2 linked regions of the Drosophila melanogaster genome follow. The protein of the gene in region 1 interacts with the protein of each later gene in a pairwise test. Each region holds a gene or a part of one and is shown on either strand. Other genes may lie near its edges. The genes, in order: CG13603 and wat.

What was found.
Region 2: the proteins of CG13603 (region 1) and wat interact in a two-hybrid assay, tested with the Drosophila melanogaster proteins (one large-scale study listed by BioGRID).

Annotation. Positions count from the first base shown.
Region 1 is NT_033777.3:23,984,413-23,988,307, reverse strand, and holds CG13603 (uncharacterized protein), read left to right. Parts: upstream 1-1,738; 5' UTR 1,739-1,822; coding exon 1,823-1,932; intron 1,933-1,998; coding exon 1,999-2,142; intron 2,143-2,208; coding exon 2,209-2,452; intron 2,453-2,631; coding exon 2,632-2,835; 3' UTR 2,836-3,095; downstream 3,096-3,895. Other genes in the region: CG5902 (uncharacterized protein), read right to left, coding at 149-880.
Region 2 is NT_033777.3:29,017,207-29,022,167, reverse strand, and holds the start of wat (waterproof), read left to right. Parts: upstream 1-1,761; 5' UTR 1,762-2,145; intron 2,146-4,961. UniProt on the Drosophila melanogaster protein: Catalyzes the reduction of saturated fatty acyl-CoA to fatty alcohols. The preferred substrates are C24:0 and C26:0. Necessary for the final stages of tracheal maturation, to facilitate the transition from water-filled to gas-filled tubes.

The sequences.
Region 1 (3,895 bases):
ATGCTGGAGATATAATAACTCATAACTTGAATTAAGCGAGCGGCCGCCAAGCTGGGCCAAACTCAAAAGCTAGCAGCAGCAGGAGGACGACGGCCATCAGGCCTGCCCTAAGCCAGGATCATCGCCTCGCCGCCGTCCTGTCCAATTGTTAGCACTGCACCTTGCCGAACTGGGCGCGACGCTCCTGGTACTCGCGGTACTCCTTGTAGTGCATCTGGATCTCCTGCGAACGGTAGCGCGTTAGCTTTATGGACTTCCTCGTCTCCGGAGTTATGGCAGCCCGATAGCCGCCCTTCCGTAGGAGTGAGTCAATGGTCTGCAGCTGGTCCCAGCCCTGTTCGGTGGCCACCTGCGGCAAATAGGTGGCTGTGCGCTTGCAGCCGCGTTCTGTGAGGAACTCGATGCGGATGCCATGGACGCCCAGTTGCCAGTCCAGGTGGCCCTGAGCCTCCTCGAAGTTCTGCAGAATCGAGACCGAGACAGTTAGCCGTGGCAACTCATCTCTAGAGATAGGTGCAAATCTAGAGTCCTTAAAGGCGCTGGTCAAGGCGTACTCCCGAAGACCATGGTGCAGTTCCATTGCACTAAAAGTACCAATGCAGCCACGCAGCCTCTTGTCACGCCCAATCTTCCAGGTGACAAAGAGTGGGTAGGCGTCGTTGCTAAACACCGGCACCGATGGACCATCGACGTTGTTCAGCTCACAGTCAAGCACCTCGAAGCAGAACAGGCACATGTCTGGCACAGCGACGGTCTTCATGCCATGGCCGTTGGAGAACCGTTGCGGCTGGTGCACCATCTGCTGGTGCTGGTATTCCGGATCTCCGTTGCTGGAGTGCGGCTGCTGCTGCTGGTAGTTGTTGTAGTGGGAGTTGGACATGCTGTTCTGTGTCAGAACTGGTTCACTAATTACGTTAGGTAGGTATATTGAGGTTACAACTAATGGCAGTGCACGTTGATGCTCTAAGTTCAATTAACACAACAGAACAGCCCCAGTAGGAGTTGCCACAGAAACGCTGCCGCCAGTCCTCTAATCGTCTTCTGAAAATCGGTGGTGGTGTTTAATGCTGGTCTCGAATTCCAAGGCCTTGGCTTACCTGCTACTGCGTAAACTAGGTCACCTGCTGCCCTCCAGTTTGCGCTGACCTCTAGCCTGTGATTCCTGGCTCCCTGCTAACTGATCCAGACCTCGTCCCCGTGTTCCTTGGCTGCCGTCCTGCTGCTAGTTAGCTCATAAGCACCTCATTGAATTGCGTCCGCTGATCCGCTGATGCGTCTGCAAAAGGTCGTGTGCGAGATAGACAATAGAGGAGGGTGCTCTTAAATGGATTTCCATGTTAATTCGCCCGAGCGATCTTCACCTTAGGTTTCACAACAGCCTCTATTGGAAAATTCGGGGAAGTGGGGAAAATCGGAGGAGAAAGCCCCCCTCCTCCTATTGCATTAATTGCTCTTTGTTCGCCCTGGCTGTTCCCCCCACCCCCCGCACTTATAAAGGGCTACGCGCCACACATGCACACGGCCCTTTGTCTTGGCTGACCCATCTAGGAGCCAGGGAGCACCGTAGGTAGCCCTCAAGAACAATATTTTACCTTTTTTCAATGTAAACAAATTTTACACTTTTTTACGAGTTCAGTGGCGAACTAGAGATGGCTTAACGAGAATGATGGCCCCAGGGTGTATATATCGATAATTGCGCATACCAATGCAGGCAGCTGCAGGGTGCTGTCCAACACTGCTTATCGATAACACCAAAAGTGCATTGCCGTGTTTGTCTGAATATTGTGGAGTTTCATTTGTTTTTGTTGAAATCAAAAGCAAAATGGCTTTGGCCAACGTGCTGCAGCTAAGCCAGATAGCTGGCCATGTCATCCTGTTTATCCTGTCGCTGTGCATCGTCGTGCCATTGTTTATAAACCTCGACCAATTCTGGTAAGTGCGCAGTTCCTCTTTGGTCCCCTGTAAATTATTGAGTTTCTTTATTCTATTTTCCCACAGTGGCCACTGCCTGCTCTTTACAACTGGCAAATGGCGGGAGGAGGACGGCATGTTCGATGTCCAGTGGGCTTCCAATGGCTTCTGCAACTTTCCCCTGATTACCGGGTTCTTCCTGCTAATTATTTCGGTGGTGCAGATTTATAGGTATGTATCTTGTGGGTATTATTCGGGGTTTTTGACATCTAGAAAGTGAATTTCTTTGCCAAATAGATACGCCCGCATGAAGGAGGAGGCCTCGTTTATAGCTCTGTTCATTGACGTCGTTCTGGGCATTTGGATGCTGGCTATGTCCATTTTGTCGGCTATTTTCATTACCCTGGGCTTTATTGTCTGGTGCGATTCCATGACCGAGAGATTCCCATCCTGTGCCATTTCCGCCGGTCAGAACATTATCCACGGCGACACGGAAAAAATTAACACCTCCGGATTTTACATTGAAATGGGAACCACTCAGGTAAGATGATACAAAAAAAAAATTCTCATCTATTTTTTTTTTGCTTTCTGTGGCAATTCTGAATGTTTGATTACGTATACGTAATATTTTATATTTTTATGTAAAACCAAATATTCAGTTGTGCATGCGAAATTAAGTTAATAAACTCTTTTAACCACTTCTATTGATTTTTGTTACAGTTTGGCGCATGGGGTTCATTCGCAATTTCCGTTGGCATCGCCGTCATCGCCCTTCTGAAACTGATCGACAACCACCAGGTGCGCAACATCAAGGTTTCCATGTACTTGGAGCGACAGCGGTTGGTGAATCAGCAGCAGTACGACGGCAGGTCGACCCCGCCGATCGTTTCGAACGCATCCTCCGACACGGAACAGAACAAATAGTTGACGTTTGTGATCAATCAGCAGCAGTTTGTAATTCTCTACGTATTTCTCATCATGTGCGTTATAATCATTGTATGTCATTTCGTCCTCGTCCTTATCATTGAGGCAGACAACCGGCAACACACATTATCTTTGTAGTGAAGGAAACTAGAGATATTAGCCCTATGTATTAAGCCAACATACGTGATATGTAATGTATATATATATATATGTATTTAATTAATTATTCCATGTTACAAATATAGTAAAACCAAATTATTAATATTTCTGAAATCATTCATTTATAAAGATACTTACGTATTGCGGATCATCCCCAACAATCCCAAGCATTCGAAATGAAACAATCAATGCAACATGTTATGTCAGTTACATTTATTTTGCAGTTATCTTCTGTGTTGTGTGTGTTTTCTTGTTGTTGATGTCATTCGAATCTGTCGTAATGTCAAACGGATTTGGGTTTGGATTTCACGTTTGCATTGCAACAAAATGTTCTTATAGACTTTAAAGCGACGCTATTGTACATTTAATATTAAATTCCGTATTTGCTTGCGTAGTCTGTTACAATTCAATTAAAAATTTCTTGATCGCACGGCATTTAGCCCCTGATCGCTGTATTTTTGCGTCTAAATTCAATCTTTGCCTGCACCGAGTTTGTTTCTTAAATGTGGAGCAAAAATGGTGGAGATTTACTTTTGGTATAGAGAAAAATAGTTACTTGTACATTTACGGGCTTTGCAGCTGAATCTCATCGATACTGTATCTGCATCTACGACTGCTTGGAGTTTGGTATCGGTATTCTGTTTTTCTGTTTTCTGGCATTCATGAAACAATTTCCTGGGATCTTACAATTAACACTACATCAATGTATGTACTATAATTAGTATTTTTAGTTTTTGCGTTTTTTTTTGTTTTATGGGTAATCATGTTTTGGATTTCTTTGAATAGCATATTATTTAAACTTACATTCTATTTTTGGTTTTTTTTTTCAGTGTTTTGTGTGTTTTCATATTTTGTTTTTCATTATTTGGTTTTGGTTTTTCATTTTGTTTTTGTTTTTAAA
Region 2 (4,961 bases), 5.0 Mb from region 1:
CAATTACACAGCATAAATAAAGGCATCAAACAATCTGCAGGCCGTTGTACCTCGAAAGTGAAGTAATTATACATCAAAAGCGAATCATGTCATTGTCAAGTGTTTGAACAGAGCTGAACAAGATCGGATCATACCTGAAAAGTGTGCACTTGAGTGTCTTTTGATGGGGCCACCATTAATATGCAGTGTCTTGATCGCGAATATTATTATTTTAATTTCGTTATTTCGCATTTGTCATTAATGGGCCTTTTGTTTCGTTTTCGTACAGCGTTTGTGCGAGAGATATTCGAGTTTATAGACTCTTTGAGCTTGGCTCTGGTGTGAGAAGATACTGCGTCAAGATACAGATACAGATGGGATCGGCGACAAAACATGCTGGGAACTACGTGATTGATGGCGGCACTGCGATTACCAGCCGAACAGCTGAACAGTACTGAACTCGACTTAGAATACTCGGCCCAGGCGAATATATTATAAATGCTGGGATATATGCGAAATCAGTGAAATCTTGTCGCGTCTAAAAAGGAAAATCACACAGCAAATGCAAAATTTATGAGCGAACTACGTCGAACGACGTCTCCGGGCGAACGGAGCAGGAATACCAATTGGGCTGGGTTTTCGATTGGGATTCGTATAGGGATGGAGCGGATGTGCACTGCACTCGAGGATGAGTCAGCTGAGCCGGAGGTCCGTGTGGGTTCAGCCCTGTCAGACAGATCAAACTATAAAGACAGGGTCCAGGTTCGCCGAATGTCTTTAATTAGCCAGCACGGTTTCAGAGATCTCATCTAGTAATCACTTTATTTACCAGACACAACTTGGGGTCAGCATGATAATCATATGCTATCATCACTTAATTAACAACGGAATTTTTTATACAAGATAAAAGAACATACATATAATGCAAAGTAATCCAATACATTTTCGGTTAATCATTTTGCACTTCTTAACAATCATAATGATAATCCGAAAATTCAATCGCTATGTATTCAATTATATGGAGCCTCATAATATATGATATATGTACACGCTGCGTATGAGTAATATTTACAGTTCATCTCGAAATCTTTGCTAATATTTTGAGTATTCGTCATCTTCGTTGGAATGATAACTACTAGTATACATTGGGTATGGGAATATTCAATTTTGAAACTCAACTGAATAAGGCAATTGTAAAAGATACTGGCGTAATCTTTGATTACCAGCACGTTTTGTTAATTGTTTATTAAAGATGCTTTGGAACCTTCAAAATGCTCCATTTAATAGGATGAATGGCAAGCTGTAAGCTAAGTAACCGGCGCTATTTTAACCCAAGTGACCAGCGCTTAAGTGAAGTCCGATGTACATATACCGCAAATATATCTCAAATGCTTCGGCTTTACGAGGCTCCATAAAATTGGATCATAACACTGGCAGTGTCCGAAAGCGATGCTCAGGTGCGGCAAGTTAGTACGACTATGTACATGTGTACACTTCAATCGCCAGTCCAAACTGCGCCACTCAATTTGACTTGATTTTTTTTTTAAGTTTGGCTTACCGCCCACAAAACGCCGCAGTCGCCGTCGCAGTCGACGCCACCGTCGCTGAGGCGCTGAGCCGCTGAGCCACCAAACCGCTGAGCCGCTGAGATGCCAAGCGCACCACCATCGAGCCGCTGAACGGCGCCGATCCACGGACTGAGAAGCCGCCGTCAGGTGTTGTGGTTTTTGCGAGCCTCAATCGAGCTGAGTCTGTTTTCGTCTGCCTGGCAGCGCGGTTCTGGAACGCGTAACGCTCGCATCGACTTCAAAAGTTAGTTTTCAAACTCGGGACTCAATTCGCTGGATATACAAAACCGATTCGGTTCGGATCGCGGTGCGCTCCCAGTTTTTCCACCTGTTGCAACCAATTTGGCATCGCTCTTTTCGCTACTCTTGTGCAACAGCGCGTGCTGCAGTTGTAAAGCGCGTTTGGTTAGAGAATTTTTATATATTTCGAAAGTGGCAACTGAAAAAGATAGAAAACCAAGAGATATATCCCTGTATGCCAGCGAGCAAGATTCGTTTTGGCAGATCCACGAGCCCTCCAATTAGCCAGCAATTTGCGGAAAGCCACTCCAATCCAATCCGTGGCCGTGGGATCTGTGCCTGTGCAGCCAGCAAATCGGTGAGTCTTGAATTACATGGGATTATAGACAATCTGCTCTGCTATCCGTATACCTGGTAATCGTATGACATATGCCATTACGTATATGCTAGGCACTGTAGGTAGTGGTGGTGGTAATGTAGCTGGCGTTGATGGCTTTCTAAAAAAAATACCCATATACCCAAATACCCAAAACGGGTTGGATTCGCTCCGCAGGTGCAGGAGGGGCCGACGAAGAGCTCATAGCCAATTGCCAGCACACAGGCATTCACGAAAAAATGTGTGAAATTTCATTGAATTTCCCAAATTTAATACACAAACAAACCCACTCGGCAATTGGGAAATAACTCATTGTTTTGCCATTGCAATGGCAAAAGAGTTACGGCTGCCAAAGAATCGATAATCGCCAGTTGGATTATTATATTACTCCCGTGGTCTTTGTGTATTTCAAACAAGTTTGCATTCATTCGTATTTTATATATGGCCAAACCCAAAAAATAATTGATTAGATTGGGAAAAACATTCATTACTGGATCAAGAGCAGTTCGATCAATATTTAAATTCCCACTTAGCAGCTCACTAATTTGGCAGAATAAATAATATTATCTGTGACATTTGGTTTTACAAATCCGTGACTAATTGTTCTGTGCTGGCTATAAAAGAAATTACTTGATGCTCAAAAATATACAAAAATATACATACCTTTTGTAAAAGAGACTAAAAGGCCAGAAGAGGATTTTAAATATTTAGAAGATACGCATTTCAGTGAAATGTCGCAATAAAAATGTGTTGCATTAAATATTATTATATTACGTAAATCATATTTCAGCTGCGCAGAAATGTGCAATTTGCCTCAGCTTTACAAGCCATTTAAAATCCGAACTCAATTAAGCGATGTAATTTGGAAATTAAAGTTCATAAAGAATTTAAAGAGTGGACGCCCCCAAGCCCTTTATACAACAAATACTTTCGTTGGCCAAATTTAAATGGCAATGAAATGCATTCAATGAAATATGCATGAGAATATCATCATATCGTGCTGAAATGAAACAGAGTTTAAAAAATCGATTTGTGTGCCACAATTAAATGGGCCTCAAGGATGCAATTAAAGTATCTAAGTATCTGTGCAGGAAAAACCCAGCCAACTCTTTAATTGAGGCGAGACGAGAAAATAGTGCTAAACTTCATGTCATAGCGATTCAATTAATTCGCAATTTATCAATTTTCAGTGCCAGGGCTTTTTGATGCGGCCAAACATATTTCATTTGTCCACCACAAACAACTGGTATTCCAGTTCGGATGCGGATGGGGATTCGTTGGGAGTTCGCTTCGGGATCCGTGGGCGGATGGCTCTGGTGGCTCTGGTGTTCCATGTTCCATGTTCAGTGGGCTGACGTGGTGGGGCGTCAAGTGGAAAATAATCGATGATGTGCCCGGGCACAATGCAAACATTGAATCAAAGTCAAATAGCATTAAACTTTTTGAACTTGCGAGGCGCGGCGAACATAAAAAAAATGAAATAATAATAAAAGTTTGCCCGCCTTCCAAGAGGCGTGAAAGCGCACACAAAAAAGTGGGCAAGCGGGGTAGGGGGTTTTTTTTTGGGTTCCTGGGTTTTTGGGACTCGGTGCTGCAGTTTTGGATCTCCCTTTCCAGAGATTTAGTGCTTTTCTTTTTTTTGGATGGATAAGCGCAGCGTTGCGCAAATATTTGACAAATCCCGCGAAAAGTCTGCTTATGTTGTCACCTCGCCTCGTTGCCATTTCTATCCAGCACCCAGGGAATGGAATGGGATAACTGGGATGGGATGCGATGGGATTTGCAGTGTGACTGGCACTGGGCCAGTCATGCTGATTAGGATTGCACCGAAAGACACTTGCCACTTGCCACTTACCACTTTCAACGTGCGACAATGTTTTCGAATTGAAATCCGAATCGGAATTTGCATGCGAATGCTCGCGGTGTAATTTATATTTCGCACTTGGCGCACTTTTCATTTCGCTGCGCGATTTTGTTTATGCAATTTGGCCAACTGCCTGCCGAATGCCAAAAGGAAGGCAAACGCCTCAGGCTTCAGGCTTCTGGCTAACGAGTGCAGGCGCGTGTCTGTATCTATATCTGTATCTGCACCTCTATCTGTATCTGTATCTGTATCTGTATCTGTATCTGTATCTTGTGGATAGGGAAGACCCCCCGAGATTCCCATATAGCAGGTGAAGGCGAACGTAAATGCGCCAATTTGTATGCAAGCAGCATTAATCGAGGGGTAATCCGGCAGCGATGCATTGCAGCCAGTTAAAGCCCAAGCCCAAGCCGATTCCGAATCCAAATCGAAGTCCAAAGCCAAATCCAGAGCCAGAGCCACTGCGTTTCGACCTGGCCAAGAGGGGCCGACATTACGTGAGATGTGCAATTGCACGAAATTGATTTGCAATCGATAAATGTGCGAATATTGCTTCTGCTGCGAATTAGCAGCCAAACAGCCAAACGGCCAAGTGTCCAAATGGCCAAGATATCCGAAGGCGCTCTTCGCCTTGCATTTTCCAGGCGTGTTTAAGTATGCATAAATAACTCATCGGCCGCCTGACCATGAATCCAATTGGGAACATCTTCATTTAAATTGTTTAGTAGCCGAGCAATGCGGCTGAGTAATGTTTGCATTGTATCTGCATCTGTGCCTCCGGTATCTGCACATTTTTCAAGCTGCCAAGTGGCAACGTTCCTAAATAAAGGTATGTTTTGAACATAAATTTTGTCAATTTCAACTATTATCGGGTGAGTTTGCATTTACCATACTCGTATAAAACGTACGGTTTTAAATTACAACAAAGATCGAA